4 linked regions of the Nothobranchius furzeri genome follow. The protein of the gene in region 3 binds, or shares a complex with, the protein of the main gene of each other region. Links are inferred from orthologs where the notes say so. Each region holds a gene or a part of one and is shown on either strand. Other genes may lie near its edges.

The links. The genes of interacting proteins can lie anywhere in the genome.
Region 1: med23 (region 3) and med31 share a complex: the UniProt entries of both Homo sapiens proteins name them as parts of the mediator complex. The link is inferred for Nothobranchius furzeri from reciprocal best matches to the Homo sapiens genes MED23 and MED31.
Region 2: med23 (region 3) and ccnc share a complex: the UniProt entries of both Homo sapiens proteins name them as parts of the mediator complex. The link is inferred for Nothobranchius furzeri from reciprocal best matches to the Homo sapiens genes MED23 and CCNC.
Region 4: med23 (region 3) and med4 share a complex: the UniProt entries of both Homo sapiens proteins name them as parts of the mediator complex. The link is inferred for Nothobranchius furzeri from reciprocal best matches to the Homo sapiens genes MED23 and MED4.

The regions. Positions count from the first base shown.
Region 1 is NC_091750.1:26,551,657-26,557,943, forward strand, and holds the end of med31 (mediator of RNA polymerase II transcription subunit 31), read right to left. Parts: intron 2,056-6,287; coding exon 1,842-2,055; 3' UTR 1,635-1,841; downstream 1-1,634. UniProt on the Homo sapiens protein: Component of the Mediator complex, a coactivator involved in the regulated transcription of nearly all RNA polymerase II-dependent genes.
Region 2 is NC_091742.1:26,784,539-26,790,650, forward strand, and holds the end of ccnc (cyclin-C), read left to right. Parts: intron 1-2,938; coding exon 2,939-3,004; intron 3,005-3,076; coding exon 3,077-3,168; intron 3,169-3,243; coding exon 3,244-3,311; intron 3,312-3,378; coding exon 3,379-3,458; intron 3,459-4,460; coding exon 4,461-4,579; intron 4,580-4,855; coding exon 4,856-4,910; 3' UTR 4,911-5,056; downstream 5,057-6,112. UniProt on the Homo sapiens protein: Component of the Mediator complex, a coactivator involved in regulated gene transcription of nearly all RNA polymerase II-dependent genes.
Region 3 is NC_091742.1:26,134,029-26,140,140, reverse strand, and holds part of med23 (mediator of RNA polymerase II transcription subunit 23), read right to left. Parts: intron 5,448-6,112; coding exon 5,241-5,447; intron 4,081-5,240; coding exon 3,937-4,080; intron 3,750-3,936; coding exon 3,604-3,749; intron 3,530-3,603; coding exon 3,284-3,529; intron 3,216-3,283; coding exon 3,073-3,215; intron 2,285-3,072; coding exon 2,110-2,284; intron 2,038-2,109; coding exon 1,874-2,037; intron 1,761-1,873; coding exon 1,636-1,760; intron 1,529-1,635; coding exon 1,323-1,528; intron 1,235-1,322; coding exon 1,054-1,234; intron 455-1,053; coding exon 284-454; intron 208-283; coding exon 1-207. UniProt on the Homo sapiens protein: Required for transcriptional activation subsequent to the assembly of the pre-initiation complex. Component of the Mediator complex, a coactivator involved in the regulated transcription of nearly all RNA polymerase II-dependent genes.
Region 4 is NC_091754.1:35,368,883-35,374,174, reverse strand, and holds part of med4 (mediator of RNA polymerase II transcription subunit 4), read right to left. Parts: intron 3,616-5,292; coding exon 3,445-3,615; intron 3,100-3,444; coding exon 3,042-3,099; intron 2,064-3,041; coding exon 1,977-2,063; intron 1,887-1,976; coding exon 1,755-1,886; intron 1-1,754. UniProt on the Homo sapiens protein: Component of the Mediator complex, a coactivator involved in the regulated transcription of nearly all RNA polymerase II-dependent genes.

The DNA.
Region 1 (6,287 bases), on a different chromosome or scaffold from region 3:
CAGGAACAGGCCACATCCCTGTCCACAATGTCCCAGAACCCAAATGAACCCCACAACACTGCCCTGTTTCTGCAGTTCACAGAGCAACCGGCGTATGGAGACTAGCAGATTTGGCCTAGAGCCCAATCTCATACCTGCCAGCGCTCTCAACGCTGCCGCCGAGTCGGAGCACACGACCGCCATCATTGGCCCATGTTCCCCTACCCACCTTAAGGCGCACAGTATAGCCACCACTTCCGCTGTGACTGAACCGTGGTCATGTAGCCAGCTACCAAACACGTGCCCCAAGCTAGGAATCACAAATCCCACCGTAGCCCTGCCACTCTCAGGGTGCCTTGAGCCATCCGTGTATAACGGCACACACAAGGACCATCCAGTCTTCAAGTACTCCACTACCTCCTCCGCCTGACCTCTCCCCCTGCCCTGCCCTGAGAGTCTCATATCCACCCCTGGGTTGGGTGGCTGCCAGTGCGGAACATCCAACCTGACCAAATGTGAAACCACTGGCCAGCCCAGGAGATCCAATCTACCCACGTCCCCTGAGCCTTTCCAAAAAGCCTCCCTGCCCTTTCCCGCCACCTAACTCCCACTGCTCCTCCAGCAAACCCAGCGCCACAGCCTCATCCCCCATACGCAGCACCCTTATAAGGTATTGTAGCCCCAGCTTGACCCGACGATACTCCAGGGGCATCTCTCCCACCTCCACCTGAAGTGCCGGCACAGAGGTTGTACAAAAGGCCCCGCTACTAACTGCTGCTGCCTGCACCATATCCAGCCTCCGCAAGGTCGAGGGGGCTGCAGAGCCATACACAAAGCATCCATAATCCAGGATTGAGCACACCACACCCCTGTAAACCATCAGCAGCATGGACCTATCGGCTCCCCAGTCCGGCCCAGCCAAACACCGCATGACATGCAGCACCTTAGTGCACTTGTTCACTAGATTTATCACATGAACCCTCCATGTCAACCGTTCATCCATCCACATACTTAGATACTTATACGAGGCGACCCTCACAATCAACTCTATGTGACAGATGTGTTGTTCTGCGTGAGGCAAATGGTGGCCACACCAGATACTGACTGGTTTTCTGCCTTACCACCCCCATAACGAATAGCTGTGCACATGTCAGGGTGTCCTTTTATTGTGGGCAGTCTAAGGCACACCTGTACATTATTCATGCTGTCATCAGCCCCTTGATATGCCACACCTGTGAGGTGGGATGGATGATCTTGGTAAGGGAGAAGTGCTCACTAACACACATGTACACATTTCAGAACAACATCTGAGAGTCATGGGTGTTTGGTGTATGTAGACACATTTTCAGATGCTTGAGTTCAGATCATTAAAAATGGGAGCAAAAACAAAAGAGATGCATTCATATTTTTGTTCAGTGTATTATATAAATATATACATACACACACACACACACACACACACACACACACACACACACACACACACACACACACACACACACACACTGGGGTAGGTAGCTTGTCTTATCAGATTATTCTGTACATCCAGCTGTTAACTTCTTTTGCAGTGAGGCCAATTCCACCTTACTGGAATCAATAACTGCAGCTGATATTTCCAGTGAAGTATTTATTTACTTTAAAAATATAAAACAAACTTATTTTAAATGATTTATTTAAAAACAAGAGCTGTAATGTCACCAGACAGAAATAAATATATACTGCTTCTGTGAATTAGTCAGAACAAACGTGGACCATCTAAATTTTTGATACGTTTGGATTTTTGCTTTAGTCCTGAATGTAACTCCTGAGGAGAAACACCTCAGTGGAAGAGTTTATTTACAGCAGGAAGCAGGATCTCTTCATCACTTGGCAGTGGTGTTCCCGTGTAGAGGCGGTTGTTGAGGAGGCTGTTGCTGCTCGGCGAGCGCCTGCTGCAGCCGCGTCCGTTTACGGGAGTAATGCTGCCAGTGCAGAAGCTGCTGCTCATCGATGAACTTGGCACACTGAGCGTTAACCAGCTCCTTCCTGAAATGTTCATACTGCAGCAGCTCTAGCATGTGGAGGCAGTGAGGATACCTGAGGCAAGGTGGAGGGGGTGGAGTTAGACATATGGACTCAAATGACATCACAAAACAATGTAATTAATTAAAATATTAAACAACTACAATCTGCTTTGCAACCATGTTCTTATTGTGTTGTTCCCTTGGAAAGGTAAAGTCACATTTTAAAACGTGGGCAAAACAAAAACACGGGTACACTGGCATGTACATAAATACACCATCATTATGTTTACAATAATAATTATTAATTATCGCACTAGATAAGAGCAATGCGGACTCTTGTATCACTGCATGCCTGAAGGACGTAAAGGGTTGGCTAGCTGCCAATTACCACAAACTAAACAAGTTTAAATCAGAGTCCATCGGGTTCAACCCTAGAAATCACTCTGGCTCTCAGTCTGACTTCGACCTAATTTTTAACCCCAAACTGTGTCTGACAAGTCTTGAAGTAAAATTAGATGATGACCTATCGATGGTTCCTCAGATAAATTCAGCTGTAAGGTCTTGCTTTCATCAGCTACGTCGTCTTAGACCAATTTTAAAGCAACGGCATTTGGAATCGGGTTTACAAGCTTCTATAACCTCTCGTCTTGACTACGCGAATGCCTTCCTTATTGGAGCTCCTAGCTCAGCTCTAAATCGTCTACAGATAGTCCAGAATGCTGCTGCTAGATTCCTCACGAAACCAAACAGACGTAGCCATATTACTCCAGTCTTGGAACATCTCCATTGGCTTCCGGTAGCGTTCCGGGTACAATTTAATATTCTGACCTTTTTGCACAAGGCTTTAAATTACTTAGCACCTGTTAATCTCTCTGAGCTGATCACCCCCATATTCCAAAGTGCTCACTGAGGTCAGCAGATCACATCCTCGGGTGGTCCCGAAGACAAAAACGTGGGAATGGGAGGAGTTTGGTGAGACCATGGAGCAAGACTTCCACATGGCTTTGAGGAGATTCCGGTCCACCATCCGGTGTCTCAGGAGGGGAAAGCAGTATGCTACTAATACGGTTTATAGTAGGGACGGTGTGCTGCTGACCTCAACTCAGGATGTTGTGAATCAGTGGGCGGAGTACTTCAAAGACCTCCTCAATCCCACCGGCACGTCTTCCAGTGAGGAAGCAGAGTATGGGGACTTTGGGTTGGACTCCCCATCTGAGGTCACTGAGATGGTCAAAAATCTTCTCAATGGCAAGGCCCAGAGGATGAATGGGATCTGTTCAGAGTTCCTTAAGGCTCTGGATGTTGTGGGGCTGTTGGTTGATGCTGCTCTGCAGTATCGCGTGGACAATGGGTGAAGTTCCACTGAATTGGCAGACTGGGGTGAGGGTGGGGTGGGGTGGGGGTGGGGGGGTCCCCCTATTTTAAAAGCTGCAGAGTGTGTTCCAACTACAGGGGGATCACACTTCTGAGCCTCTTTGGTAAGGTCCATTCAGGGGTTCTGGAGAGGAGGGTCCGTCGGATTGTCGAACCTCGGATTCAGGAGTTACAAAGTGGTTCTCGTCCTGGCTGTGGAACACTGGACCAGCTCTAAAACCTTAGGGGGATCCTGGAGGGTGCGTGGGAGTTTGCCCAACCAATCTACATGTGTTTTGTAGATTTAGAGAAGGCGTTTAACTGTGTCCCCCAGGTGGCCTGGTACCCTGACCCTCCGGGTGTATGGGGTACCAGACCCTTTGATACGAGCTGATAGGTCCATGTATGACCGGTGTCAAAGCTTGGTTTGCATTGCCGGCAGTAAGTCAAGCTCATTTCTGGTGAGAGTTGGACTCTGCCAAGCTTCCCCTTTTCATCGATTCCATTAATAACCTTTATGGACAGGATTTCTAGGTGCAGCAGAGGTATTGATGGGATCAATTTTGGTGGCCAAAGGATCAGGTCTCTGCTTTTTGCAGATGATGTGGTCCTGTTGGCTCCGTTAGACAGTGATCTCCAGGTTTAGCTGGAACGGTTCACAGAGTGTGAAGCGGCTGGGATGAGTATCCACTCCTCTAAATCCGAGACCATGGTCTTCAGTTGGAAAAGGGTAGGATGCCATCTCCGGGTCAGGGATGAGGTCCTGCCCCAAGTGGAGGAGTTCAAGTACCTCGGGGCCTTGTTCATGAGTGAGGGAAAAATGCAGGGTGAGATTGATAGGTGGATTGGTGCTGTGTCTGCAGTGATGCGGGCGCTTTACCGGTCTGTCGTGGTGAAGCGAGAGCTGAGCTGGAAGGCGATGCTAGCAGAGTTTTAGACGCTACATCTGAATGACACATTGTTGTCTGCTATAATGCTAACACAGAAACACCGGAGATCCGCCACGGTTTACAGGAGTGTTTGAGCAGAGTTTCTGGCGTGTTGTCATCAGCTGGTACGGGCTCAGAACAGAAGCCATCTTCTGTTTGGCGAACACTTTTTAAAACACTGGATTTTCTTATAAATACAGCCATGAAAATCCAAAACCCTTTTTCAGCTGAGTTTTAATTTTGCTTCACACATTCATACAGTGTAATTTAGCCTCTGGATGACTTTTAAATACTTATTTCACTTTATTTTTTACGTTAGCTAGCTACTTATTCCATGCTGCCAATATGTGGAGTAGACTCTTGAACAATAAACAATGAAAATCGGAACTCAACAATTAAAATAAGTCAATTTCTTGGGAGGTGGGTCGGCTGAGTTACATTCTCGGTTATTGGTTCTTCCGATCTTTATTTAGAATATGTTATTTATTCAAAAGAGTTAAAATTAGACATTTTAAGAGAAAGTTGTTGAAGTTACATACAGCAGGGCTGCAGCTGTGGAATATTGTTGTATTAGACCATTCTATCAAATCTTCTTTCAATTAATCAATCGATTAGATAAAAAAAAATTCTGATGAGTTTGTTTTAAAAAGTCCACTCATGATTCACTTCAGAAGGGATGTTCAAGTTCAAGGTATGTTTACTTTAAATGTGATTAAATACTATGAATCATGTCAATGAAAAATTGCAGAAAGTGTTAACGGTTATTTTATTTTTAAAGCAAGAATGTGGATTTGAATACATGCTCATGAATTTCAATTCTGGTGTATAACTCTTATGGTATCAGTATGCTACTCTTAAATTTTAGCTTAAGCTTCATATGGTGTGGGGGGGTTGGGGTTATAAGCTTCTGTCTGTACCCATTTTTTGATTGTCTAAGTTGTGCGTTTACTTGTAAAGCCACCATTTAAGAAATCGTGTTACGATCATGTTTATTAGCTCCTGATCCGATCGTTTTCAGCAAAGCATCAAAATAAAAAAAGATAAAAAAACACTTACAAGTTGTCCTTTGTCACTTTCATTTGTTTGGGAAGTACACCGATTTAAAAACGCGTTTACATTGTGAATATATTTAAAGGTTGTTTCCTCCTTCATTATGCAGCTGGACTGATGGATGCACAATCCCGTAACGGATAAGGTAAGCGGCACCTCTGCTGATAGGCTAACTTTTAACGCACAACACCTACCTGTGCTTTGGGCTTTGGGGCTGCAGGAAACATGTTTGTATGCAATTATTTTTTCATATATTAGCGTACCTTTCTGTCAGCTGGTTCCACTTTTTTGTCCGAGTTCACTGTGAACTGGGACTGTAAGTGGCAAACTGGGAATTAATGGAGACCGGTGATTCATTTTGACACCCAAAGGGGAAAGAGAAGGTAGTTTGTTTGAAGGCAGAGAATCATGGAAACATTCTTCCAGCATGTTGAATGCCCAGTATGCACTTACTACACGTGGCTGTTGCTCTGCCTTTTCTGTCCGGTTTAAAATACCACCATGCTGCAGACGTTAGCCTGTTTGCTAACAGCTGCAGCGTGGTGTCTGAATCTCTGCCTGATGTAAGTTGTGTGATGTTAAGGTGCTGTTTTTGCATACGAAACAAAGAATATTGATGTAGAGGAACTTGTTGAAATTAAAACTAAACTGGTAGTATTCCATTGGAAATTCTTTATCTCAGAATGAATTAAAAAAAGTCACGTTTGTTGTTTTAAAAGGTTAAATTTGATTAATTTCTCCCGATCCTTTTAAAATCACGCCACTGGATCGGAGCATCCCTACTTTTCAGGAAAACCACCTTTTATTAAACAACAACAAAGCGTGTAAAAATATCCAGGACAACTGCAATGTCCTTGAAGGGGGGTTCATCATGATGAGACGTACCCCAGTGGCCCCATGTACATCTTAGAAGAAACACCGATGCAGTGTTTGACTGATCGTCACTTTAAAGAACAAGTCAACCCCTACCAGA
Region 2 (6,112 bases), about 650 kb from region 3:
CAATCACAACACCCAGATTTCGAACTGCCTTTGAAGGAGCCAGAGATAGGAAGTCATTCTGGATTGAGATATTGTGCTGTATGGATGGTTTTGCTGGGATGACAAGTAGTTCAGTTTTAGAGTGGTTGAGTTGGAGATGGTGGGATTTCATCCATTTTGATATGTCAGAGAGACAGTTTGATATTCGTGCAGAGACAGTGTGGTCGTCCGGCGGAAATGACAGATAGAGCTGGGTGTCGTCTGCATACCAGTGGTAGGAGAAGCCATGTGATGGAATGATCTCACTCAGTGAGGTGGTGTATATAACAAAGAGAAGAGGCCCTAGTACAGAGCCCTGGGGGACTCCTGTGGCAAGATGGTGCACGTTAGAAGATTGTCCAAGTCAAGATACACTGAATGATCGTCCTGTGAGGTACGATTCAAACCAGGCGTGTGCTTTCTCTGTGATGCCCATGCTAGAGAGTGTGGACAAAAGGAAGTCATGGCTGACAGTGTCTAATGCAGCCGATAAGTCGAGCAGGATAAGCACTGAGGGTTTGGCAGTCACTCTAGCATCTTTTAAGGATTCAGTCACTGCTAACAGAGCAGTTTCAGTGGAGTGGCCCTTTTTGAACCCAGATTGGTAAGGGTCAAGCAGACAGTTTTGTGAGAGGTATTCTGTGATCTGCTTGAAAGCCACCCTTTCAATGATTTTGGACAGAAAAGGGAGGAGAGAGAGAGGTTGGTAGTTCTCCACATGATTTGGAGGAAGTGATGGTTTTTTTAGCAGCGGTTTAACCTGAGCATGCTTGAGAGAGGTGCAAATAATTGCCTCATCGACCACAACGCATGCCGGGATGCTGGTTAAAAAGAAATAAAAATAAAACTTTAATAACAAACAACCAAACAATTATTTGAATTAATTTATATTCATTGCTGCTCCGTCTAAAACATTCAGAGCATTAATTAGTCATCCTTGAATTAACTACTTTTGTTTGAAAGTACATCTTTTCAGAAAAGGCACTTGAGCCTTTTCTCCTGCAGCAATGCATTGTGGGTAATTCCAGTCACCCAAGTCCGCTATCTTCTTAAGGCCCTGTCCACACGTAGCCGGGGATCTGCCAAAACGTAGATATTTTTCTACGTTTTGGCCTGTCGTCCACACGAAAACGGAGTTTTTTCACACGAAAACGGATCTTTTTAAAAACTCCGGCCAAAGTGAAGATCTGCGTTTTCTCCGTTTTGGGTGTCTGCGTGTGGACAGACAAAACTGGAGTTTTAAGGTCCGCAACGTCACTTTCCGCGACAAAAAAATGCTGACATCACGTGTGCGACCTGTGTTTACACTAGCCGACAGCATGGAAGCCCTCAGAGCTGCGCTCGCTTTATCAATTGTCCAAGCGCTTTCTGCTTGTTTGTTTTTGCAAGTGGAATTACTGCTCCTTGTGGAAGACCACAGACGAAGGACGAGGTTAAGAACGGGGGAAGTACTGCCGCCTACAGGTCTGGCATGTCCTTATCAACGTATTTATCCGGGTACGTGTGGACAGAGTTTTTTTTAAAACGAGGTGGTGTGGATGCAAGTTTTTGGAGGGGCGGATATTCGTTTAAAAAAAACCCGACTACGTGTGGACTAGGCCTTAATCATCTCGCTGGATCAGATGCGTGGAATGCATTTCGCACCGGCTGCACATCTGAACCTTCCTTGCTGATTTATCAGCGTGAAAATATTCTAGGTGAGTGAGGAACTTGTAATTTTTGTTTATTCCAAACATACATTTTGAGCCCCCCCCCATTAATGCACATGCCCGAGGATGACCTAAGCGTCTTCCTCTGCAGCGTTGTTTATGTGATGCTTTCCAGCTCACCAAGACGCCCTCACGCTCTTTCACAGTGCCGTTACATTTCTGGTTGCTGGTACGCAACATTCCTCAGTTAATGCGTAGCACCACAGAGCTCCCAGAACCTCGTCAGAACCGTTTGGACACGTTGATTACAGCGGGGCACCGGATTGACGACAGCTCCTTGGGCAACGATGGTCCAAGTGTCCAAGAAGTCAAATGGGAATGCTGTCAGGCTGTTCTAGGGTCAGTCGAAGTCGAATGTTTTTATTTTTTGTTGTTTAGTTAAAAATAATTAATCTGCTGATCTCAAAGGGGAGGAGTTTAAGTATCTCGGGGTCTTGTTCACGAGTGAGGGTAGGAGGGATCGGGACATCGACAGGCGGATTGGTTCGGCGTCTGCAGTGATGCGGACGCTGAGCCGATCTGTCGTGGTGAAGAGGGAGCTGAGCCAGAAAGCCAGGCTCTCGATTTACCGGTCCATCTACGTCCCAATCCTCACCTATGGTCATGAGCTTTGGGTAATGACCGAAAGAACGAGATCGCGGATACAAGCGGCCGAAATGAGTTTCCTCCGTAGGGTGGCCGGGCTCAGCCTTAGAGATAGGGTGAGGAGCTCGGACATTCGGGAGGGACTCGGAGTAGATCCGCTGCTCCTCCGGATCGAGAGGAGCCAGTTGAGGTGGTTTGGGCATCTGGTCAGGATGCCTCCTGGACGCCTCCCTGGGGAGGTGTTTCAGGCATGTCCTTCCGGCAGGAGGCCCCCGGGTCGACCCAGGACACGGTGGAGAGGTTACATCTCCAATCTGCTCCGGGAACGCCTTGGGGTCCTGCCGGAGGAGCTGGTGGAGGTGGCCGGGGAGAGGACGGTCTGGAGCTCCCTAGTTGGGATGCTGCCCCCGCGACCCGGACCCGGATAAGCGGAGGAAGACGACGACGGTCTCATAAAGACCGGTTCTGTTCCGAGTTTCTTCCTCTTTTTTTTTCCTTCATCACACAGCTCAGCTTGTTGTCCGACACAAATAACGGTCCCTCTGGAACGCGTGGTCACTCAGCTGAGTGCTCAGCTTTAATTACAGCACCCATCTTTCTGGTTGTTTTCCGTTCGTGTCTCTCAGACTGACCGTAGACCGCTCGTCTCTCCCCAGATATTAGAATGTGAGTTCTACCTTCTGGAGCTGATGGTGAGTAGAAAAGCGTTTCCTCTGTCGCTGAGCCGACGCCATCACCTGGATGACTGTCGCCTTCTGTTTCAGGACTGCTGCCTGATCGTGTACCACCCCTACAGACCCCTCCTGCAGTACGTGCAGGACATGGGACAGGAAGACATGCTGCTGCCGCTGGCCTGGTACCACTCTGGGTTCTGCTTGTGTCAAACACGATTTGATGGAGTGTTTTAAAGCGTCTCGCTTTTCTTTCTCAGGCGGATAGTGAACGACACCTACAGGACGGATCTGTGTCTGCTCTACCCTCCCTTCATGATCGCCCTCGGTGAGAGTTTGCTTCTCTGACTCCCTTCCTTAGATTTGATCTGATCAGTTCTTCTTCTCCCCTGCAGCTTGTCTACACGTCGCCTGTGTGGTGCAGCAGAAAGATGCCAGGCAGTGGTTTGCAGAGCTCTCTGTGGACATGGACAAAGTAAGATGGATGTTTTTTTTAATGTTTTAACAACAGACGCCTTATTTTATCCACGTAGTTCTGCGTCTTTGGCTAATCTTTCTCAGGTTATATAGCCAAGTGGTATACTTCAGCGTTAAGCTATTTCAGTCTGATTTGTCCAGTCAGGGAGTGGGCAGGGTCTGGTGGGGATCAGCGTTTCTTGTTCTTTACTCAAATTTAATAAAATCCAACATTTAGACGCCCAAACAGACTGATGTGGGAACATTTTCACATTTAAATCCTACGTTCCACACAACAGGGTGGGTCCTTAAAAAGTCTCAAATGTGCTTTTCCAAATTTAAGGCCTTAAAAATGACAAATATTCCTTAAATGCAGTTTCCAAAGGTCTTTAATTACCAAAGATCCAATTAACAAGATTCTTTTATTTCTATCAAATTTGGTGAATTTCTACTTAGTGTTCGACGTTTTTTGTGTGCGATGTTGGCGTAAGCGGAACCGTACACATGCAGTTGGTTGTGAAGGGGGACTACTTTTAGATGAGCACGTTAGCTGGTTAAGCTAGTGGGAGCTTGCGCCATGGGGAAGTTTAATGGTTACTGGATGGCTAATCCCACGATCGCTACGTGGTTGGCACCGGTTCCAGGCGGTAGCTGGAAATTATAGCTTAAATTTAATTTTTTTAAATGAGCCGCACTTGTATAGCGCCTGTCAGAGTCAGGACTCCAAGGCGCTTTACACTACAGTGCATCATTCATCCATTCACACGCCCATGCTAGCGTGGGGACGAGCTACGATGTAGCCACAGCTGCAAGTGTTGCCCAAGGACACAACAGCAGAATTCTCTGTCCGGAGCCGGGATCGAACCCGCAACCTTCCGATTACTGGACAACCCGCTCAACCTGTCGAGCTGCTGCTGCCCCGCTTAAATAGCTTGAATTTGGCTCGCTTGAACCTGCAGATGCCCTGCACCAGGACGGGTCCGTGTGTGAACGAGTTCCTAAGTCGATGTTTTCTTTTAAGATCCTGGAAATTATCCGTGTCATGCTGAAGCTTTACGACCAGTGGAAGAATTTTGATGACAGGAAGGAGATCGCTGCTATCCTGAACAAGATGCCAAAACCCAAACCACCACCCAACAGGTAGGTCTGACCCGGTTCTGGTACCTTTCAGACTTTTAGTCCCTCTGTTGCACCGTGTGTGTGATGAACGGAGAACACGTTCTGCAGTAGGTTTATTTTTTTTACCTCTCAATCGGGCCTGGATTCACCAAAAGGTTTCTCATCCATTTAGTGATCTATGTCTGTCTAATTCACCGGCTCCTCCTGAAACTGTTCCAAACTGCATCAGAAAGAGAAAAAAACAGAATTGTTTCAATACAAGTTTAATTCTTTTGCTTTTCGTTTTTCTTCCTGCAGTGAAGGTGATCAGAGCTCCAACGGGAACCAAAGCAACTCCTACAGCCAGTCTTAGCAGAAACCTCTGTGTTCACGGGGGGGGGGGGGTCCATAATGTCATGAACTTTGGGACGAGTCGAGTTTGTCGGCGTCGCTCTAAAACCCGATCCAAGCCCTCACAAACTCCGAGCACCGAACCGACTCTCCTCCCACTCTTTTACCGTGGACCCTTGGATCGGAAACGCCCGGAGCGACGAGCCGACCGACCGTTCCCGCTGTCCTCTCCATCAGGCGGATGACTTTGACCGGATATGAATAAAAACTGGTGAAGGTGCGAGAGGGAAAACTGCCTGATCCTGAAGTCCTTGAACCATCCCTAGGAGCAAATTAGAACTCTGTGGGATTTGAGAAAACGTAATCATGAGTACTGTATGTTCACGTGTGTGTGTGTGTGTGTGTGTGTGTGTGTGTGTGTGTGTGTGTGTGTGTGTGTGTGTGTGTGTGTGTGTGTGTGTGTGTGTGTGTGTGTGTGTGTGTGTGTGTGTGTGTGTGTGTGTGTGTGTGTGTGTGTGTGTAGTCTGGGTGGGGTTTCGTTGCTCAGGGATCGCTGTAGTTTTCTCTCCATCAGTGAACGATTCTGTGCAGTTGAGTGGATCTGATTGGACGTGTGACTCTAAAGAGTTAGCATCTTGATAAAATCACTGTGCTGTGTTCATAAACCACAATTTACTGTTCCAATCATGACGATTCACTTATTCCCTTCCGTTCTCTCGTCTGTTGTGGATCGTATTTTCTGTATAATTTTTGCTTTATTAATGAAGTTGATACAAATGCCGAGTTAAACTTTGTGCTAAGCGCTTCTGCTTGTTTAGTTTTTGGGTGATTCTTTTAGTCTGGTGCAAAAATATAGAACATTTGTGAGCTAGTTTTCCTTTTGAAGCGTTTGGCTTCGGTTGTTTTCAAGTATCTGTTTTTGTCGTAAATATTTGCTGAAAGGGATTTATATTAAAAACTTTTTTTTTTTGCCGAAACAGTTCCTAGTTTCCTGAATGGCCTCTGTTTGAAGAAATAGCTTTAACATCTTACAGAGCTGATGAGCTTAAGTCTAAAGTTTGCTGCTAACTTCCTAAAATGTCTCCAATCTAACTTTTTTTAAACGTTTTACAGCAAATAAATAATTCCTGATGTGTGTGTGTGTGTGTGTGGCTGCAGCATTTGATGTTTATGCTTGTAAACAACCATGCATTTCCATATAAATCACAATGTCAAGTCGACAGC
Region 3 (6,112 bases):
GTACAGTCCTCCCAGGTGGTCCAGCAGGGTTTCCAGAGACTTGGAGACAGGAAGGAGCTCCAGGAAGCGGTGGATGACGATGTCAAAGACAGGCAGGAAGCGCAGGCACACATTGCCAAAGTAGATTGGAAGGTACTGAGGCTGGAGCTGCATAGGAGGGTTTACTTGTTCTGCAAGACCCTCGAAGTGCAACTTTTCTGGGTATTTCTGATAAAGGAGTAAAGATTTTTTTTATCTGATCTCCTTTATAAGTGAGATTTTACCTAAACCATGTGATTTGTACCTTGTGGTAGCTCATGTGTTTGTTGTGCCAGTCGCTCTGCAGCCAGTGCTCGGGGGCGTTCTCCTTCACAAAATCATTCACTCGGTTCCTGAAGTCATTGGGCTTCAGCAGCAGCAGCTGGATTATGAAGTAGCACACCTGAGCCTCGTTCCCCTCGTGGCTCCTCATGGCCTGGATGGCAGAGGAAGAGGAGTAAAGCCCGAGCGTGGCGTTTGGAGCGTTAAGCTTGGTTTATGCTTGACGCGTCCGCGAGGTTTGCACGGCTCCGTCATTTTAACAACCACGCCCCTCCACACGGCCAAAAATTTCCGCACCGCGCACCTAGGAAATTTTCTAACCACGCGGACGGTCGGATGCGGAAAAACATGGTGGACTGGCAAGAACTAGTATGGCAGAGGTTCGTAAATACAGACATTTGTATGATTCAGCTCTCAGAGATCACCGTGATCAACATGTTGTTAATAATTCTTGGAGAGAAATAGCTCGCACTGTCGGAAAAGACGAGGACGCTGTTAAAAATGCTGGAATGCCGTGTTGTAAACAACAGTAATTTTTACTTCTACTATGGTGTAGTGTTGGATGCATGCCGTAGAGCTCCATGCTGCCCCCTACAGTTTGGGAGAATATTGGCTCACCGCAGAGACAAGCCGCGTGAACCATAAACGCTGCGAGTTGCGAAGCGCGTTCCATCACCAAGCGGAAAGTAAATGCGTCAAGCATAAACCAAGCTTTAGCGTCAAATGAGCGTAGATTTCTCTGCGCGTCCTCACCAGACACAGAATGAGCCTGTCCAGCGTGACTATGTTGTACTTCCAGACCATGTCGTTGAGGATTTCAATGCACTTGTTGAGTTGCTGTCCACCTGCAGACGTTGAAAATTCATAAACGAGGAAGTCGGCGAAGGTACGGACGTGAGCCACCAGAGCGCGAGCTCCAATTCGCTCCAACACCCTGATGAAGAGGAGAAAAAAAACCAAAAAGAGTGACGAAGTGAGCCTAGACAAGTTTGGATTTAAAAGCAGCAAAGATCAGAGCGGACCTGAAGCCTATCTGGTTGATGTGGTCGGTCTCCAGCAGCATCTTCCACAGCAGACACAGGAAGAGGGGAGGAGAGCCCTGCATGGAGAAGTGGGTGATGATGTCGTTCTCGTTGGCCATCGACTTCCACTTCCTGTACTCTTCTTCCACGTTTTTCTTCAGGTTGAAACGAGACTCCTGAGGAACGTTGTTCTGTTTAAAGAACGCCTGAAACACACACAGGTGCTGAAGTTAACCCAACAAGTTGTTTAATTTAATAATTCATTTATTCACTTTTGTCCCGCCCTGTTTGTTGAGGGGGAAACCTTCTGCACCTGCAGCGGAGCAGGGAAGCAGGACAGAGTGTGTGAGGCCCAGTTGTGAGGTGTGAAGTTCATGATGGTCTGGAGGATGTCCTTACACCAAGTCCCATGGATGGAATCAGACCCTGTGAAAAAGTCTCATACAGACAAACCAGCACAGAGACTCAAACACCTGATTCTATTATTATTATTTAAAAAGGCAGTAAATTAAACCAAATGTGAGTAAATGCAAATCCTGTCTAAGAGGTACCGGTGACATGTGTGGCTCGAGCCAGAGTGAGGATCAAGGCTCGGTTCAGCTCCTCCGATTCAGCTGACAGAACCGTCTTCGGGTCGTTGAGGAAGCGGGTGAACTGAGGTTGTACCTCTGAACTCCCCAAAGCTGTGATCAGCCTCAGAGCCGTGCTCTCAACGCTGAGAAGGAGACGAGAAATCTGTTAACTAGGTCATAGGAACAGCTTGCGATGTCTCGAGATGCAGAGTTACCACAGGTGCAGCTGGTTCTGGTTGGTCTGCGGTACCGCGGACAGGCTGTGCAGATGACTCAGCAGCTGGATTCTGTAGTGCGGCTGGACGTGGTGCATCCTGTAGCTGAACATCTCCAGCAGCGTGTGCAGGATTCCCCACGCGTGAGACTTAAACACGTTGGGCAACAGCTGGCCTGAAGTGAAGAGGTGGTTAATCAGATTATTTATGATGAATGAGATATGTGCCTGCCAACTCCGGGTCGGGGGAGGGGTCCTACCTCAAGGGGAGGAGTTTAAGTATCTCGGGGTATTGTTCACGAGTGAGGGTAGGAGGGATCGGGAGATCGACAGGCGAATTGGTTCGGCGTCTGCAGTGATGCGGACGCTGAGCCGATCTGTCGTGGGGAAGAGGGAGCTGAGCCAGAAAGCCAGGCTCTCGATTTACCGGTCGATCTAAGTCCCAATCCTCACCTACGGTCATGAGCTTTGGGTAATGACCGAAAGAACGAGATCGCGGATACAAGCGGCTGAATTGAGTTTCCTCCGTAGGGTGGCCGGGCTCAGCCTTAGAGATAGGTTGAGGAGCTCGGACATTCGGGAGGGACTCGGAGTAGAACCGCTGCTCCTCCGGATCGAAAGGAGTCAGTTGAGGTGGTTTGGGCATCTGGTCAGGATGCCTCCTGGACGCCTCCCTGGGGAGGTGTTTCGGGCATGTCCTGCCAGCAGGAGGCCCCCGGGTCGACCCAGGACACGTTGGAGAGGTTACATCTCCAATCTGGTCCGGGAACGCCTTGGGGTCCTGCCGGAGGAGCTGGTGGAGGTGGCCGGGGAGAGGACGGTCTGGAGCTCCCTAGTTGGGATGCTGCCCCCACGACCCGGACCCGGATAAGCGGAGGAAGTCGATGACGAGATATGTTATGAGCTAAATCTCAGAGCTCACTTCAAGTGTTCTATCAACAAGGATCAACCTAAGTAAACCCACTGATGAATCCTTTGATGCCCAGTGACTCGATCTCCATGTAGACCAGCAGTCGGCTGTATGTCTCCACCAGTGCGGGGGCCAAGGCCAGGCTGGACTTGGTGTGGGCCAGCTTGATCACACGTGTGGCGATGCTGTGGATCAGACTGAAGACAAACAGGAAGTGAAAGTTTTAAACAAAAACAGCTGAAGTAACTTAAGTTTCTTGTCCTACCTCATCTTAGCATGCACAGTGATGGAATCCAACAGATTCATGGGCAGCGGGGTGATGGATCCCGACGCCATGCAGCTGGTTCCAGGCAGGTTGATCCTTACAGATCCGTTTCCATAAATGGTCTCCACCAGGACCCCCATAGGCAGGGTGAAGCACTCAGAGTTTGTGCTATAAGCGTTACACAGCAGGGCGATTTTATAGTCGGACATGCCCAGGGTTTTGTTACGAAGAGACTGCTGGAGGAACCTAAAACCCAAAGACAGAATTAACTAGATAAAAGGGTGATTTTAGTCATTTAAGGCAATGTTCCAGATTTTTACTCGTGGTGGAGTTTCAGAGAGTGTGGGATTGGTATCTGCAATTTGGAGTTGTCATTCTGAGCTTTGCGGTTCAGATGGATCCAGATGCAGGTCATGGCAAAGGAGTGGGTGGACTGGGGCTTGTTAATGTCAGGAACCTGGATGCACTGCAGAGGGACAGACAGTTTAGGTATCGTCTGCATTACTGACTAAAGTAATGATGAGAAATACAACAATTATTAGTTAAAATGGTTAAATTAATATTAAATTAATATTTTTATTTCAAAGCAGCCAGACAAAGAGCAAACTGAAGTCTTTTTGGTACAAATAACAGCGATCGTGTCTTCATGTTACCTCTTTTTCAGGGTACAGCAGATCAAAAAGCTTCATGACCGGCAGGAAGTCAGCCAGTGCATTTTTCTGAATGCTGCCAGATATAAACTGCAGCAGGACCCACATCAGGTGGTCCCTCCCTTTTATTAGGCCTCGGCCTGCAAGCTGAGGAAAAAGAATATCAGCTTTATTAAAGGGACTTTACGGACTTTTGAATGTTTATGCTCGCTATTGCCCCCTCAGGCCAAAAGCGTAACAGAAGCTTCAATGGTAGGCTCATGCACGATGGTGTACGTGCACACTCCTTAACGAAAATAACAGCTGAGACAGCACGTGCACGCGCGCGCGCGTGTGTGTGTGTGTCTGTGTGTGTGTGTGTGTGTCTGTGTGTGTGTGTGTGTGTGTGGCCCAGAGGACAGAGGACAGGAGAACGCGCAGCTAATTAATTAAATAATTTGGTTCTGTACCTTTCTCTTCAGCACAGCCGACAAAGGTTTATGATGGGTCAGTCCTCCTGCATGCTCAGATCATTCCCTTCCCTTGCTTGAAAAATTGTTCCAAAATGAAAGTTGAACCCACATCTTTTTTATCTGTGAATTCAATGCCGTTCGGCGAGTCTCAAATAAAAATTTGGGCATCTTACTGTAAAAAATATACCATTAATGTAAAAAAGAAACTCTAAATAAACTATGTTCACACCCAGAATCAAACCCAGGTCTTCTGCATGAGAGTCAGACATCTTACAAGGTGAACTAAACTCTAGTAACATTCACAGTATCTGTAACATTTATATCCTTGATGACAGCTGAAACAACGTCAAACCAAAGAACGGTTCGGAGCGAAAATGGCTATTTTGTTGCTAATTTGCAGGAAATATCTAGAAGAAAGTTCTACAGAAAGTAGCTAAGGGTCCTCAGAAATGTAGCTAGCTTTGTCACTAGGCGTTAGGAACAGCGACAAAGTGGCACTGCCCCTCTCTCTGTTGCTAAAGCTACGGATAGCAAATGCTACGAGCTATGCCTGAGCGTGAACGCGCATGAAGCAGCCTGCTCGACCCGAGCATCTCTCTTTTTCTGTGATTTTACAGAAAAACAGGCAATCACAGTAAAAATGCCAGGGCTCATTCTACAGGACCAGGGCATTGCAGGAGAATGTATGAAGAAGACATTTATTATTTCTATACATGTTTTGGCTGTCACACTTCCATAATGTCCCTTTAAGGATTTCCTTACAGTTTATAATTGTGCAACAGAGCCTCCCAATCAAAATAAAACTCAAAAACATGTAGAAAACTGTTTTTAATCTTCCTGCTGCAGCTTTCCTACCTTCTGATGTAAGGAGAGCACCATGTGAGGGAAGCCGGCGAACTGAAACAGCACAAAGAAGATGAGCTGGGAGGAGAGGTGCTGCCACAGCAGCTGGCTCGTTCCTCCAATGTCAGCGTCAAAGTGCTCCTCAGTCTCAGAGCGCTCCATGGCGTACACCACCAGGTCCACCAGCTGCTCCTCCAGCACCGGGCAGCGCTGCTTTTGCTGAGGACAGGGAGGAGAAGGAGGAGGGTGTGGGGTGTTAAAGGATGAAGGAAGAAAGGGGCAAAAGGGGGAGAAAGTTAAGAGAAAAAAAAAACATTTTTTTTTTATTATAAAACATGCTTCTGTTATAGTTACCAACATTTTTAGTCCCTTGCATGCAGGACTGCATCTCCTACCTGTCTGTCATCTGGGTTACACCCGGCTTTTAAATCCCTTCTGGTGTTATTTAGAAATTAGAACTAAAGTATTCAAGTAAGTCTTTAGGTTCAGTCCTGCCACATGCAGTCGGAGAATGATTAGTAACATAAACTTTGTAAAGTTTTTTTTAACAAAAGAAAATAAAGAGGAAACATAAAAATAACAACGATGGAAGAGAGAATTACTAAATTAAGCTAAACAAGGTATTTCAAGGATATTTAGTTGGCTAAAAAAATCTACTTGTTGGGAAAAAAGTGGGTGTGAGTATATTAGGAGGGAAGTAAATTAGAGAGAAGGCGATGAGGAGATACATTAATCTGATCTGCTTGATTTCCTAAACACAATGGTCCTTAGAGACAAACAAAGCCACAGCCCAGGTTGATTTTTATTTCATTTATCGATGCTGATGCTTTTACTCTTTTCCTTAAAGGGACTTTATGGACTTTGAATGTTTATGCTCGCTATTA
Region 4 (5,292 bases), on a different chromosome or scaffold from region 3:
GCTTCGTAACAAAGTAACACTCTGTGGAAGTTAACTTGGTGAAGTATTCACAAAACTTATTCATAAAGCTGGCGCCATCTGCTGGGTAGGTAGCGCAATATCAGCCATATCAGCCGACTTTTTAGCCGATAGCCGATACTGTTAATGACCCCAATATCGGCCGATAATATCAGCAGGTCGATATATCGGTCGGGCCCAAGACTAATGGTGAGACGGTTGTCCCGTGGTTTCATATATTTGAAATGCATCTTTCCAGGTCTTGTTTATGCATCGATGTGGTGAAACTTTACACAGCTAACACAGATCCACCTCTGGATATTAGGAAAATAATACTTTATAGGTTATATGGATCTGCCCTATTGATGTTTGATCAAAGGAAAAGTGCTTCAGCTGCTGGTTGGAATTTATTAAGAATCTAAAGGAAGTTTCCCCAAAATTCAGTGAAACGTGTATTTAAAGAGCATTTTATTCATCTTTCCCTGATAAACACAAACCATTGCAACTGTGAGTTCTTGTTTTTCCCCCCATTTTTGCTGCATTACAGTGTTAAAATCCATCCTTCTACACTCATCTCCTCCCGTCTGGATTAGGCTAACTCAGCTCAGATCCTACATGACTCTTATGGGTTTTTCTTGTTCTTTTTTGATTGCTTTCTGTAACGGTCACTTTCATTTAGACAAAAACATGTTATAAGTGTGTTTGTTTCTGACCACAACCAAAGTGTGGGAACTGAAGAAGCTTCTGGGATGAGAGGCTAAATGTCTCCAACATAACCAGAAAAGTCCAGCTGTTTATAACTGAAACCATCAGGATGATCATGTCCAGGATGACTGAGTCGACACCTCCGTGCTGCAGCAGCATTCAGTCAGAACAAAAAGTGAAGCTTGAATGTAGCTGCTGTCAGTAACAATCTAACAGATTTAAACATTAAAACTCACACCAGATTAAATAGTTCAAAAAGGAAATAAAAAATGTCACAACTGTGTGTTGTGACATTTTTTATTTTTATATTATTATCCCTGTGGGCTACAGTGGGCATAACCCGGTGTGGTCCACCAGAGAGAAAGCTCTGCAGGCGACAGACAGCTGGTGTGTTCAGCTCTGAAAAGTGCCGATCAGAATTTGCAGATCACGTTTGTTTTTCACGGAGGTCAGCTGCGAATTCCTCTTCCGGTCAGGATCTAGGAATTGAAATAAAAAACTGAGCGTTTTTGGTTCTTTTTAAAACACAGGAAAGGTTTCTGTGTTTTAAAAAGAACCAAAATGTTATTAGAAACTAGACACAGTAACAACACACCAAAGAAACTTTGAGCGTTTCCGGGAAAAACTCACTCCTGGTCCCGGTTCCCATCGATGCTCGATGCCCAACTCTACAGTTAAGTCACTCCAATGTTTTAGTTGTTATAAAAGACAGTTTATACAGCTTATCTTGGCTTCTATTTCATCTATTTTTCAGCTGATTGTTTTAGTGTTTGTACATTTTCCATCTTTTGTTATTTAGTCTCAATGTTATTTTTCTCTTTTTATGCTAAATTTTGAAATGTTTTTGATGCTTCATCTCATTAAAAGTGCTGGATTTGTTCCGTGTAAGCATCTTTGGTCTTCTGCCATGCTACTTTTATACATGCTATATAAATAAAGATGGTATGGAACAAGACACATTCTGAAGTGTCAGTATAAAACAAAACCAGTCTTCATAAAGACCTGAACTTACGCGGCACTCAAGTGTTTTAATTCTGCTCTTTTTAACTTACCTGGTAACCGTCCTGCAGCCAGAGCATCACCTGGCAGGTGTCCGTTCACACCGTTGGATGGCAGGTTTGCCATGTGACCCAGCATCCCGCTGCGCATTTCCAGGTCGGTGGGATAAGGTCTGCGTGGATCTCCTGTCACCAACGTTTGGATGGTGTGTTAATGAAGTCAAACCTGCCCTCTACTGACAGCCAGTGGGAACTGCAGGGGCCTCCAGCTCCTACCTGGCACCCAGTTGAGTGGAGCACACACGGCGTTGCTGGCACTGATTCGGTGAGCGTATTTGATGATTTCCTCTGATGAAATGCTTCCTGCAATTAAAAACTCAAAATCAAGACAAATGAAAGAAAAACAAGAACAAGACAGACTTCATTAGTGTGTGTGTGTGTGTGTTCCATGTGTGTGTGTACGTGTGTGTGCGCGCGTGTGTGTTACGTGTGTGTGTACGTGTGTGTTTCGTGTGTGTGTGTGTGTGTGCGTGCGTGTGTGTGTTCCATGTGTGTGTGCGTGTGTGTGCCTGCGTGTTACGTGTGTGTGTGCCTGCGTGCACGTTTGTGTGTTCCGTGTGTGTGTGTGTGTGTGTGTGTGTGTGTGTGTGTGTGTGTGTGTGCGTGCGTTCCATGTGTGTGTGTGTGTGTGTGCGTGCGTTCCATGTGTGTGTGTGTGCGTGCGTGTGTGTGTTCCATGTGTGTGTGCGTGTGTGTGCATGCGTGTTACGTGTGTGTGTGTGTGCCTGCGTGCACGTTTGTGTGTTCCGTGTGTGTGTGTGTGTGTGTGTGTTCCATGTGTGTGTGCGTGTGTGTGCATGCGTGTTACGTGTGTGTGTGCCTGCGTGCACGTTTGTGTGTTCCGTGTGTGTGTGTGTGTGTGCATGCGTTCCATGTGTGTGTGTGTGTGTGTGTGTGTGCGTGCGTTCCATGTGTGTGTGTGTGTGTGTGTGTGTGTGTGTGTGTGCGTGCATGTGTGTGTTCCATGTGTGTGTGCGTGTGTGTGCATGCGTGTTACGTGTGTGTGTGTGTGTGCCTGCGTGCACGTTTGTGTGTTCCGTGTGTGTGTGTGTGTGTGTGTGTGCGTGCGTTCCATGTGTGTGTGTGTGTGTGTGTGCGTTCCATGTGTGTGTGTGTGCGTGCGTGTGTGTGTTCCGTGTGTGTGTGCATGCGTGTTACGTGTGTGTGTGCCTGCGTGCACGTTTGTGTGTTCCGTGTGTGTGTGTGCGTGCGTGCGTGTTCTGTGTGTGTGTTCCATGTGAGTGTGTTCCGTGTGTGTGTGTGTGTGTGTGTGTTCCTCACCTTTCCGGGCTTTTTCTATAGACTTAAGTTTCTCTTTTGCCTGGTAAACAGCGGTGGCCTTAAATAAAAGAACAAGGGAACCAAAAATCATTTGAGGAAAGAAAACACTCAGATTTAAAGAATGATGTGTTTGTGAGTTTCTACTAATTATTCATGTTGACCAAAACCAGCAGCGTTGGTGGAGACTTCACACAAACCCACTCTGAAGCAGCAGCTGCTCCACCCTTCTCCATGACAGCTTCATGCTTTTGTTTGGTTTGTAAATTCCCATCAGCTATTGTAAAAGTTCAGTCTTTAAGCAGTTTACAAACAAGCAGCAGCACACAGCTGCAGGAATGGAATGCAGCTCATACAGATGGTGCTAAATCATATCACCGCATTGCAATTCCTACAACAAACCTACTAGTATGTGTTCGGCCTCCTTCAGCTGCTTCTGGAGCTGCTGGATGTCGCTGTCTCTTTTCTCCACCTCCTTCTCCAGCAGCTGCATCTCCTGGTGAACCTTCCCCTGCTGCTGGGCCACCTCCATCAGCTCCTGGAACTCCGTGTCCCTCTGCACCAGCAGATCAATGATCTAGATGGGAAAAACAGATTGCAAATGTTACATCCAAATTCATATTCAAAGGATAACCAGTTAACAGCCATGGCATGTCTAATCAGCAGACTTTGCTGCATCATTATAGACACCAGTGTACCTCAGATCTTCCAGGAAAAGTGATTCCAACAATAACAATAATAGGTAGTAGTTGAAATGTAAACACTCAAAAATGAAAAGGCAGCAGAAAAAAAATGCCAAAAATACAACAACGTCAAATAAAACCAATACAGAAATCAAACATCATCTCATTATGAGGAATATAACATCAAATCTGCACGGAGAAGTAAAAAGTGTCTCCTGAGGGTACCTGAACATACTGTGAAAGGCAGAAGATGGGATTTGCCAGATTCTGGGGGCGTGGCAACTAGACGCCGGCTGGTGCTTGTCAGGTGTGATGAGGCCGGAGATGATAAAAGGGTGGCAGATCTACCAAGGTGTGTGTGTGTATGGTCGACCTGTCATTGTGACACCCGGTTCTGGGGGGTGGGATCGTTCGCAGTTGGTTAGGACTGCCGGCGATGAAGACAGCTGAGTAGGTGGGCAGTGTTCCAGTGCTAGGACGGGAGGCTTGACGCCTTCTTTAGGTAGCGAGGGCTGGGAGTATTTGGGTGCCGAGACCACGCCGACATCTGCCACAGCAAACTCTGGCAGCCGGACCCGAGCCATGGACTCACCTGCCGTCCACGCAAGCTGAACCCCGGGGCGTTGGACGGTGTTGGAAGCTCAGACCCCGGGGAGGGGGTCGCATCGACTGGGCCAGCTAAGTACCTGATTGTTTGATTTTACTTATGCTGAACAGCTGGTTTTGTCTTAAAGGGACAAGAGGCAGTAGCCGACGAGTTCCACAGCGGAACTCGCCCGTGGTGTTTTATTATTCAGTTGTGCTAATAACGGGTATTTTTGATCATTTCTGCCTACTGGTGTTGTTTTAGGTTCTGACTGGAGGGTAAGACTTTCTGCCAGCGCACCCACTGAAACTTATATTAAAATACTTTACATAGAAGTAGGGTTGTCATGGTAACCGGTGTAGCAGTGAACTCTGGGGAAAAAAGTTGACAATAATAATAACCGCCTTGTTTTTAAAAAAACTATATTATCTCGGTGATTACAGTGGCTGCGGTGACCCTTACCAGCCACCGTATCATCTGCTGAAGTTGCCGGCGGCACATGCGCGCTTTGTTGTTTACAACCAAAACTTTCTTGAAGCTAAAGCTGAAATAATGGCCAAAGGAGGAGACGGCAGCGCTCAGGACATTTATTATCCCTCAAAGAAGACAAAGGGGGAAGTACGGGCATCTTTTGGATATTTGAAGAATGCCGAGGGAGTTGATAGAAGACGACTATCCTGTTTGCAGCACGTGCAGAAAAAGTGTCTGTGAAAGGCAGCAACGCTTCAAATCTCATGACACATCTGCGTGACCATCACCCACAACTCTACAGTCAACGCAAGGCAAGCTAACGTTAGCGTTTTAGCTAAAATGTGTGATCCGAGGATTTGGGTTGAGGGAGAATGCAACGAGTCGCTATATAAAGCAGCCGCAGCGCCGCTACCTGCATATAAACCGTGTCGACGCGGACACCCCCATGTTGAAATGACGCTATGCATTACGGGGCTCCCAGGGACAGATAAGAGTTGGTCTCTCTCCGAGAATA